2 linked regions of the Caenorhabditis elegans genome follow. The protein of the gene in region 1 purifies or fractionates together with the protein of each later gene. This does not show direct contact. Each region holds a gene or a part of one and is shown on either strand. Other genes may lie near its edges.

Region 1 (5,368 bases):
TCAATTTGATTTTTATATTTTGAACCTTCAAAAACTGCTCTGCCTTCTATTTTGTATGTCACAAAATTTTTCATTTTCATTTCCCAAAATGTTCAGTTATTTAATATGAGACAATGTTTCCATTTTTATTTCTATTCTCACTAATAAACGTTACTTTTTCATGAAACTTTTATGATTGAACATATGTATGTATATAATAGAAAATACCGGAAAATACAATAAAAAAACGAGACCAAAATCTGGGACAAAAACTACCATGAAAAGAGTATCATGAGCATTGTGAGAAAGCCGACAAAAAAATTCTGAAAGTTTGAAAAATACGGAGCAACGAGAACAAAATAAGGAGAAATGCAAGTATTTAGAGTTGAATTCCATTTATTTGAGCATGTCCATTCGATGGTTGTGGCGAAGGTTGAATGCTAAAAATTGAGTCGTCTGAAAACGGGAAAAACGCAAACTAAAGGCACACAAAACATTTCAAGCATTTTGAAATTTATTGGTGAAAATTCTTATTTCGTCCGTTGTATCATTGAAATTTAAGAAAAAAAAATGTTTATTTTCCATAAAAACAAAAAATTTTGGTCACTAGAAAACAGGCACTACCGGTAAATATTAGATTGAGGGGCGGAGTTTCCAATGAAACACGGGGGAGGAAACTTTTGAATCTCAAAAATCGAAGATTCAAATGCGATAAAAAACAATTATGCGAAAATAAATCGTAAAGTTGGGCTCAAAATTGGCACACTGCCAGTTATCCAACATCCAAATGCAACTGGTACAAGAATTAAAGGGGCGTGCCACTGAACTGCGTCTAAAAATCGATCGAAATCATCCTTCTCGTTCGGGATTCGGCGGGACTTCTTTTGAATTATTTTCACAGATTTTGAAGACTTCGTCAATTTTTTCGAGGCTTGTGGTGTAAAATCCATTCTTGACGGCGGTGGTGTATAAACTCCAACATCCAGCTCTTTCCACGATGGTTCAGGAGTCACGAAGCACATGGGAGCCATTGTTTCCGAAGATCGTCTCAATTGCTTCTGTGGTGTGGCCAACTGATTTTTCTGATTCATCGTAGTCCTTCTTAAAATCGTTTCCTTCTTCGGGCGACTATGATTCAAATTATTCAATGCATATGAGTGAAGGTACCGATAATTTTCATGTCTATCTCCAGCATCTTCCAAATCTTGCCCAAATTCTGACGATGAATGTTCTGTGGCAGAAGGTGTCATTGGCATGAAAGATCCAGATTCATGGCTTTGTGGTGGAGTCTCCAATTGAACAGATGATGTAGTGTCCAAATGCAGTTCTGATGGAGAATAATATGACGTTGAAGCCACTGAACGAGGTGTTTCTGGAGCATATGATGCTGGTGGAGGTGTAACTTCTGCAGCATGAGAAGAACGGGAAGCGGTTTGCCGTCTTGACAGCACGCTAGAAATCAGAGAAATAACGAGTACTATGAAATTGGAATGTTAAACAAATGAACAAAGGTATTCTAAATATATCCACTCATTTGAATAAATCATGTAATTTTAATCCAGGTTTGGCTATAATTATTGTCAAAATTTGATAATTTTGTAAGATAGTTTTTTTTTCAATAATTTAAAACGTTCTGGACACTTTGCTCGGTTGTCATTAGAAACAACGAGAACGATGTAAGAATTTTCACCAATTGAATTTTCAAATCAAATCTATGATTCTATAACTTTTGATTACAAGTTAAATGACTCAACACAGTAATTGCACACAAAATCACACATTCACAATAAGCACAATGCCTACCTTCTAGCCGGCGAAACGGAACCTCTGCTTGATCGATGGTCGAGAATTCCCATATATTTTGCAGCTCGAGACAGTAGGTATCCACTGAGTACGGTAGCTGTCAGAGATTTGAGCCAAGTTGGCGATTTTGCTGGGATCAATGCTTTGATGAGCACTGCGGCAAGCAGACTTCCAAAATTGAACAGCGTAGATGAAAGAACACTGAAAAATCATTATTTGTTGGAATCTTTCTTTTTCTCAAAAAAAAGTTAATTTACCTGAATTCAACTCTCTCCCATGGATTCACACGGTGAAGGTGTCTTCTGAAATACACGTAGAATCCGAGTCCCACGTTGGCATTGAACAGAATCGTGTTGCTGACGGCAAGATCTCCCGTCGGAAACAGACTGAAAAAACAAACAACTAATTTAGAATTGATTCGTAGACACTTACCTTGAAATGATATTTGGACTGAACAAATGCACAGTGTAAAGAGTGTGTGAAAGTGCTCCAGAAGCAGGAAGATAGTGAGAAAGGAAGGATCGAGATGTGACTGGTGGAAACCATTTTGCCCAGTCAATTCCAAATGTACCACCACCCGATTGGATACCTGAAAATATTGATGATTATGAGTCTGAGCTTCTTTTTATTTAGTTTTCCGCATTTTTGTTGTTTTTTCATGTTTTTGGTGAAGAATTAATTTTATGCTTTTTAAAGTTTTGTTTTCCATAAAAAAAACACTCGCAATTATTAAAGTATGGAAATTTTTTTTTTAATCGTTCTCGGTTTGTCAACAAAGAAAATATTTTGGATTCAGCCCTGATCACAACTAGAAAATAGATTTTTCTGCAGATTTTCTTCCTCGAACATTTTTGATAAATGAGCGCCATCGGCGCCCACGGATCTTAACATATCTTTTATCGGATCCAAGTGATAAATAAATCTGATAAGAGAAACTACTTGTGTTATGTTAGTTTTTTCTGCATCCCACGATCAAAGTCCATAGGGTCCTCATAAAGTTTTATTTTAGGCGCTATATAAACGATAACACTGTCACTAATCATAAAACATTCCATTCATCAATTTATCAATCAACGAAGCGTTTCATTGCCATAATGGGCAGATTTTTCTTTTATGTTTATATAGTTTTTAAAATATCTTTTTCAAAGATAGTTCCACACTGACCGGATGATGATGATGGATGATCAAGAATTCCCATTATTTTAGGCGTATTTAGTAAGAGAAGAATTTGATTTCGTCGTAGTTGTTGTTCGAACACAGTCGGCGGGGGTTAATGGATTGGAAGAGCGTAGATATGGTCGGACAGGAAGAGGCTAATTGAATTAGGAATCCAATTTATTCTGAAATGAACTTTTGATTGGAAATGACCAAAACATGACATTTTTTTTTTAATCCAAAAGTAGTGAAAATACAAAAAAATGGTTATGATCCCAGTATTACATTTATACTTCTTTTTTCAAACAAAAAACTCACAGCTCACAATTCCACGACTAGCGGGTAGTTGCTCTCGTTCGAAACAAACACACAGATTGGCTGATAAACTGATCTCGTTCGTAGTTTTCTCGTTTTCTCTAACTACCTCTCAAGGTACTTAGAGAGTTGAGAAATGGGCGGAGTCTGGTTGCCCTTTGTGCTCTGCAACAACCATGTATACAACAAGAAAAAGAAGAAAAAGAAGTACAATTGTACAGATAAAATTAGAGTATATAGAGAAATGAGGTAATCAAAAGAATCTATTGGAGGGGAACACTTAATGCTCATTTCGAAATGAAAGATAAGCAACAAGTCAAACAGCAAGTGAATTGAGAACAAGAATCATTGGATTACCATCGGAAAATTGTTTCCATCAGTTTCAATGTTTATTCAATAAAATTAAATATGCTGTGTGTTGCTGAAAATTTCAAAAACAGTTTTGTATATTACCCAGACTCGAAATGTCGCAATTTTTATGGGCGAAAATACGGTATCTGGCCTCAATGCGACAATTATGTATTGCATAGAAATATGTGTGCGCCTTTAAAGAGTACTGTAGTTTCAAACTATAACAATTTTTGGCACTAAAATCCAAAATTTTCGCGTCTGGGTAATATCTAATAAGTGGAATCAATTTGGCGATTAAATTTTCAAAATTCGGAGTGACAGACTTTCAAATTCTCCATGTAGGAACGAGAACTAACAAATCCAGGGAGCAAAAATCCGGATTAGTGAATCGAAATCCACAGAGACAATCTGAACAGCAATTAGAGCGAATACTTGCGAAATTTGTTTCCTGCAGAATTTGTCAAATGAAAAAGGACATAAAACAACAAAACCCAATGACAAGACCAACAAAAGATGATGGAACAGACACCAAGAGGTCGATAAGAAAGACAGTGACACAACCGACCACAGTGGGGGAGTGAAAGAGAGGGCGCGAAAAGCAGCAGAAAACGACGGGCGGGAGACAGACGGACAACACACACAAGTGAAATCGAGCCAAGAATGATGAAAGAAATGAGACGCAGAGGTGACATTGAAGGGAAAAGAGGATGTCCCTATGGGCGCCCGCGACGCCCAAGGTGACAGGTGATGTTTTTTTTCGCGGGAATTGATGGAATTCAATGGAGAAGAAACAAAAACAAAGCAATACATCGGAACGAGCGAATGGGCTCCGATAAATCTCTGATATGAATTGCCTGTAAATGTCATGTGTTCACATTTTTGTTTTATTCTCATTTGCCATTTTATAGAACTGATAGAGCGTTTTGATAGGATTATTTCAGCAAGAAAAAGGAAAAGTTGTGTTCAACAGAAATGTGTTTGCTAAAAAATTTCTGACATGGCAAGAAAATTCATTGAATTGTTCAGCATCGCATCTTTTAAGGGCCCTTCATGGACAATTGCCAAGACCCGCATTTCGGGAATTTTTCTATTAGAGATATAGGATATCAGATTGGAAACTGTGACGTTGTCCTGAGAATCAACGTTTTTTTTTGTCAATTCCAATTAGAAATGGATATCTAATGAACTTTTACGAAGAAAGTTGATCGACTATAACTTAAACTTGTCAGCTCTATTGTTTTCGATGGGGGTGGAACATTTTGCACAACAGAAATGAGCGGATGACATGGAACAATTGAGCAGGCCTGTAGAAAACTATGATGGGCAAAAATGTCATAAATTTCGGGGATTTGGTGACGAGCCGAGAAAATGTTTTCAGTTAAATATACAATCAAAATGTTTTCTAAATCGAAAACTAGCATGAATTCAGAAAGAAAAAACATATGATACTAATTTATTAGACAATACGAATTTCGCAGAACAACTAAAACCAGTTTCTGTGATAACTGGTGTTCGTCTTCTACAGACAATCAAAAGACTTGGCATAGTTTTTCCTGTTTAGAAATTCCAAAAAATAAAACCAAGAGAGAAACGTTTCTAGAAACACGAATATATATTTTTCACATTTCTCTATAAGCTCTCATTTAGCTTGCTATAAGGCTCAACCTACAATAGTTTATGATCTTTTCATGAGAATCTACAAGAAATACTTGGTTGAGTTGAACACAAGTAGTTAAACTTGTCAACAATAAAATTGAAGTGTTTT
Region 2 (5,395 bases), 7.8 Mb from region 1:
CCAGGCCATGAGAGCCCTAATCCATGAAGAGATTCCATTCCAAATTGAATTGATTGTGCTATATAACAATCTGAAGCATATTGAAATGCGGGGGCGATGGCCGGTGGTAGAGCACTCATATTTCGACGGGAAATTGTCTGAAAATTGGGGGAAATTAGGAAAAACTAGAGATTTTTAGCCTAAAAATTTCAATTTTTGATGATTTTCGCCGCAGTAAAAACGGTCAAAATTTCATATTTTTTGGATTTTTTAATGAAAAATGTGGGCTTTTTTCAAAATTAACACACATTTTCTTTGAGAAATTGAGAAAAATTGTTTTTTTCCTCGTTTGCATGTTAAAATATGTTTTTAAAAAAATTAAGAATCAAAATTTTCCAGGTTTTCTATGACAAATTTTGATTTTTGTGAGCAATTGGAAGAAATTAGCCAATTTTTGGCGAAAAAAATCGAAAAATTGCCTGCAATTTAGTATTTTATGCTTAGAAATCATGAAAATTTTGGTTTTTTTCAACTTTTTTGGACAAAAACTCTCAAATGTTACCGTTTCACACCGATTTTGAGGATTCAAAAATGACGTCGATGCGATAGAAATGTGCCGTGGAGCGCATATTCTGCTGAGCATTTTTTTTCGCTGAAAATTATTTTTGAACTTTTGAAAAATCTGGAAAATCTGGGGAAAAAAGTAAGGAAAATGTCTGGAATTTAGCCTATTTACACGGAAAATTACAAAAAAAAAGTTAAATGTGGAAAAAATAATTAATTAATTAAATTAAGAATATACAGCAATAAAATTGGGGGAAAAATGGGGAATATTTAGGACAAAAAGTACATATTTTAGGGGGAAAATAGTGTAAAATAATCACATTTTGGGGGTATTTTAGGGTGACGACAAGATTTCAAAGGTTTTGGAGCTGTTTTGGTGAAAATTTGAGCAAAAAATACTGAAAATCGTCAAACAAAAGTTGAAAATCAATTGAAACAAAAAAGAGGAATTTCTAGTTTTTATATGACGTAGAAATGTAGAAAAAGTGAATTTTTTCACAGAAATAATTAAAATTTTAGTTTAAAAAAATTGATTTTTATATAATTTTATCAATTTTTAACACTTAAAACACTTTAAAAGTGTCGAAAATTGAAGAAATGATTTTTTCTTAGACAAAAAAAATTGATTTACACATAGAAAAGTCAATTTTTCAGTTGAAATTTCACAAAATAACACCGCTTTCAAGCTGAAAAACGGATTTTTATGAAGAAAAGTCAATTTTTCGCCGTGAAAATCATAAATTTTTGAGTTGGAAAAGACAGTAATGTTGACGAAAATTTCGGTTTTCAATCATTTTCAGGCAATATTTCACAATTATTGACAGAAAAAATCAATTTTTAGACAAATTTTAGGTTTTAAATCCGATAATTTATCGCTTTTTCCATAGAAAAGTCAATTTTTCGACAAAAGTTTCCGGAAAAAAACATAGTCTTCATGATTTTCAGCGAAAATGTCAGGATTTTAGGTCTAAATTCAAATTTTCAATCAATTTTCATATCAAAATAATGTCGCCACCCTCAAGAAAATTCACAATGTTTAAAATTAATTTCCTCCAAGTCGCTGTCCACTTCCTCCAAAAGCTCTTGGTCCAGCTGGTGGTGGTGGTCTTGGTGCTCCGCCAGCTCCCGATCCACCAGCTCTCGGAGCTCCCGGAGCCGGTCCTCCTCCACGTGGTTGAGTGAAAAAGCAGACGGCAAGGGCGATCAGAAGCCCAAATGGCCCGAAAATGATGAGAAGTGCGATGGCGAGCAACAAATGGAATGGTTGAAGCTGAAAACCGGCGAAATTGACTCCAGAAATCCCGAATCCCTGTAGGCGCTCGTTAATTGTCTCAATTATGCGGAAAACTGGCTCCAGAGGATTTGGTCCCGCGGGTGGTGGAGCAGCTCCGGAGGCTCTTGGTGGAGCTGATGATGACGTGGAAGAGCTTGAGCCGGTCGTGGAGCCGGAGAGACGCTGAAAATTTAAATATTTAGGGGAAAAATTGAGTTTTTTTGTGAAAATTTAGCATTTTAATGTAGAATTTTCAATTTTCCAGGTTTTTTTACTAGTAAAAATGTGTTTTTTTCGTCGAAAAATATAAAAAGTTTTGCAGACGAAAATCCGGAAAATCTCGTGCTTTTCGAGCAAACCCACGGAAAATTGAAATTTTTTCAGATTTTTGGGCGTAAGTGTTGCATTTTTAGGCGACAATTGTGATTTTCTGAGCCAAAATCTTGAAAATTACCAATTTGGTGGAAAAATACGATTTTTTTTTTTTTGAGAAAATTAAGCTGAAAATTGAGCTTTTTGGTTGAAAAATGTGATTTTCCGAGCAAAAAACAAGAAAATTGAGAATTTTTGGGCAGAAATTGATGATTTTCTGAGCCAAAATCTTGAAAATTGCCAACTTTTTGGCTAAAATTAGGGTTTTTGGGGTGTGAATTGTAATTTTTGTGCGAAAATTTGGAAATTATGGGGTTTTTAAGTGAAATTTCAAGCAAAATAGCCGATTTTTTGCGTGAAAATTCAATTTTTTCTTGAAAAATTCGATTTTTCGCTGAAAAATGGATTTTCAACTTCAGCGAATAAAAATGTGTCAAAATCCGGTTTTAGGTCGAAAATTTGGGCTTTTCCACAAGAAAATCACAAATTTTCCGGAATTTTTCGTCTTTAAACTGGAAGTGTTAAGCTTTTTTCGTGAAAAAGTGAAAATTTGGGGCTAAAACTCAATTTTCGGATGAAAAATCGTCGTAGTAAAATTCAATTTTTGCATGAAAAAATACGAAATCTGAAGAGAAATATTTTTTCTGCTGATTTTGACGAAAATGCGAAAAATTTTGAGTTTTCTCGAGCAAACCCACATAAAATAGGTAATTTTTGAGTGAAAATTGCGATTTTTCGAACCAAAATCTTGAAAATTGCCAACTCTTGGGCTAAAATTAGGGGGTGTGGAGAGTAAATTGTGAATTTTTAAGCGGAAACTGTCTAAAAAATTGGGCATTGTCAGAGAATTGCGGGAAAATTCAGCCTTTCTGAGCGAGAAAAGTCATTTTTCAGGTAAAAAATTCAGTTTTTTCTCCGATCTTCTCTACGAACTTGTCCAGTTCCAGACCATGCGGCACTAGTCGACGCATATTTAGCCACCATACTCCTCAGTCCACTCTCATCGGCTCCTTGAATCGTCGCCTTCTTCTGCCCGTTCACAAATGCGATAAATGTGGGCATTGCGTTGACGCCGTACGTGGCGGCAGTTCCACGGCACTCATCCACGTCAACTTTTAGAAAAACGGAGCCTTTGTATTGATTGGCCAAGTCGCTGAAGATCGGCGCAATGTACTGGCATGGGCCGCACCTGGAGAATATAGAAAGATATATTTATGCTTAAAACACTGAAAATCCCTTGAAAAGCCTTACCAGGATGCTGTAAAATCCACAAAAACCGCTTTCCCGTTGCCCGCGGAGAACTTGCGGTCAAAATCCGAATCTCCATTGACAACTATTACTGGCATTTTCTGAAAAATTAGTGAAAAATTAATTGTTTTATTTATTTTCCACAAAAAAATTCAAAAAAAAACCTTGAAAACCACTTTAAAAATTAAAAAATCCAACAAAAAAAATAAAAAAATTGTTGTCAAGTCCGCAATGACACCGAACTTGACGCGCAAATGGTGTACACACATCAAAATCCACCGTACCCCACATCTCCCGTGGCGGCAAATCGCGGCGGGACCCGCCAGCAATTTCAATGCTCGCGAATTTTCCGAATTTCAAATTTTGTTCGCCGCTTCCAGTGTTTTCCATGAAATTTCTTTAGTTTTTCGCCGAATTTCTTGGTTTTTCAAGCAAAAATCGTGATTTTCAAGCTTAAAATCGGTGAAAAACGTGGGAAATTGGGCCAGAAAACCGGAAATTGGGTTAGATTTCCCATTTTGAAGTGTTTTGTCATCGTGAAGTTTCTCAAAGTGAATTTTGCCGTATTTATATTATTTTCTGAAGTTTTCAAGCTGAAAAAACAACTAACAATCTAAAAATCCTAAAATTTAGACCAAAATCTCTAAAACTTCACCTAAAATTGCTCATTCTTACTCAATTTTTACACAATTTTTCGATTTTGCCCCTAAAATCTAATAATTTGCAGGTAAATCATGGCTATGAAGATCCCAAAGTCCGGTTACAACCGGTTCATGAAGGAAGGAGCTCAGCACTTCAAAGGAACCGACGAGGCTGTTCAGAGGAATATCGAGGCCTGTACGGAGCTCGCTTCGCAGATTCGATCGGCCTACGGACCAAATGGTACGGAAAATTGCAGAATTTCACATTAAATATATGATTTTTCCCCAATTTTCCCACTTTAGGAATGAACAAAATGGTGATTAACCACATCGAGAAGCTCTTCGTCACCAACGACGCCGCCACCATCCTCAAGGAGCTCGAAATTCAGCATCCGGCCGCCCGTATCATCATTATGGCCACCGAGATGCAGGAGAAGCAGGTTTTTCAATAGAAAAACTGGAAAATTTAAATTTAAATGGGAAAAATTACAGATCGGAGACAACACGAACACCGTTGTGATCTTGGCGGCCGCTTTGTTGGAGCACGCTGCGAATCTCATCCATATGGTACTGGAAAACGTTGATTTTTGTCGAAAATTGTGGAAATTTGCTCGAATTCCTTGAAAAATGGGGTTTTTTAATCTAAAAATCCTCCAATTTATATATTTTGTCACTTAAAAGTGCCCAAAGTTCATGAAAAATCGCTGAAAAATCGATTTTTCACGCTTTTCTCAGCGAAAATTATAGATTTTTCGAGAGAACACTGCCAAAAAGTCGTTTTTGCTTGTTTTTAAGCATTTCCCGCAAAAAAGATACCAAATTTTGCTATCTTGAATATAAAAATCCGATTTCCAGAGATTTTTGCGCATTTCTCGCTAGAAACCCCAACATTTCGAAAAGTTTCAACTAAAAAGTGCCGAAAATGCAATTTTCAGCTAGTTTTCAAGCTTTTTTCTTACATTTCACTCGAAAATCCTCAAATTTCGCTTTTTTTTTTCGGCGGAAAAATGTCGAATTCACTAAAAAGTTTACAAATTATTCGATTTTTCGCGTTTTTTTTCAAGATTTTTTATTGAAAAATCCCAAATTTTCTCCATTTTCAGCTAACTTTCCTCATTTCTCGCGGAGAAAATACATTTTCACATCATTTTTATGCAAAAAATGCTATTTTTCTGCTGAAATTATCTAATTTTCCTTTTAAATAATCGCGAAAATTCAGTTTTTCAGCTTTTTTTTCGAGATTCTTCTCATTTTCAAGTAAAAATTCCAATTTTTTAAAAAATGTTTTTGATGCTTAATTGATCCATTTCAGGGTATT

Evidence for each region.
Region 2: the proteins of C09G9.1 (region 1) and Y55F3AR.2 fractionate together in Caenorhabditis elegans (co-fractionation; one large-scale study listed by BioGRID). This does not show direct contact.

Annotation. Positions count from the first base shown.
Region 1 is NC_003282.8:8,862,067-8,867,434, forward strand, and holds C09G9.1 (Rhomboid domain-containing protein), read right to left. Parts: upstream 3,418-5,368; 5' UTR 3,256-3,417; intron 3,123-3,255; 5' UTR 2,981-3,122; coding exon 2,947-2,980; intron 2,372-2,946; coding exon 2,215-2,371; intron 2,169-2,214; coding exon 2,040-2,168; intron 1,984-2,039; coding exon 1,783-1,983; intron 1,432-1,782; coding exon 702-1,431; 3' UTR 539-701; downstream 1-538.
Region 2 is NC_003282.8:1,092,689-1,098,083, reverse strand, and holds Y55F3AR.2 (Thioredoxin domain-containing protein), read right to left. Parts: upstream 3,544-5,395; 5' UTR 3,535-3,543; coding exon 3,440-3,534; intron 3,378-3,439; coding exon 3,122-3,377; intron 2,000-3,121; coding exon 1,586-1,999; 3' UTR 742-1,585; downstream 1-741. Other genes in the region: cox-18 (Cytochrome OXidase assembly protein), read right to left, coding at 1-137, 542-622; cct-8 (T-complex protein 1 subunit theta), read left to right, coding at 4,171-4,318, 4,381-4,517, 4,570-4,644.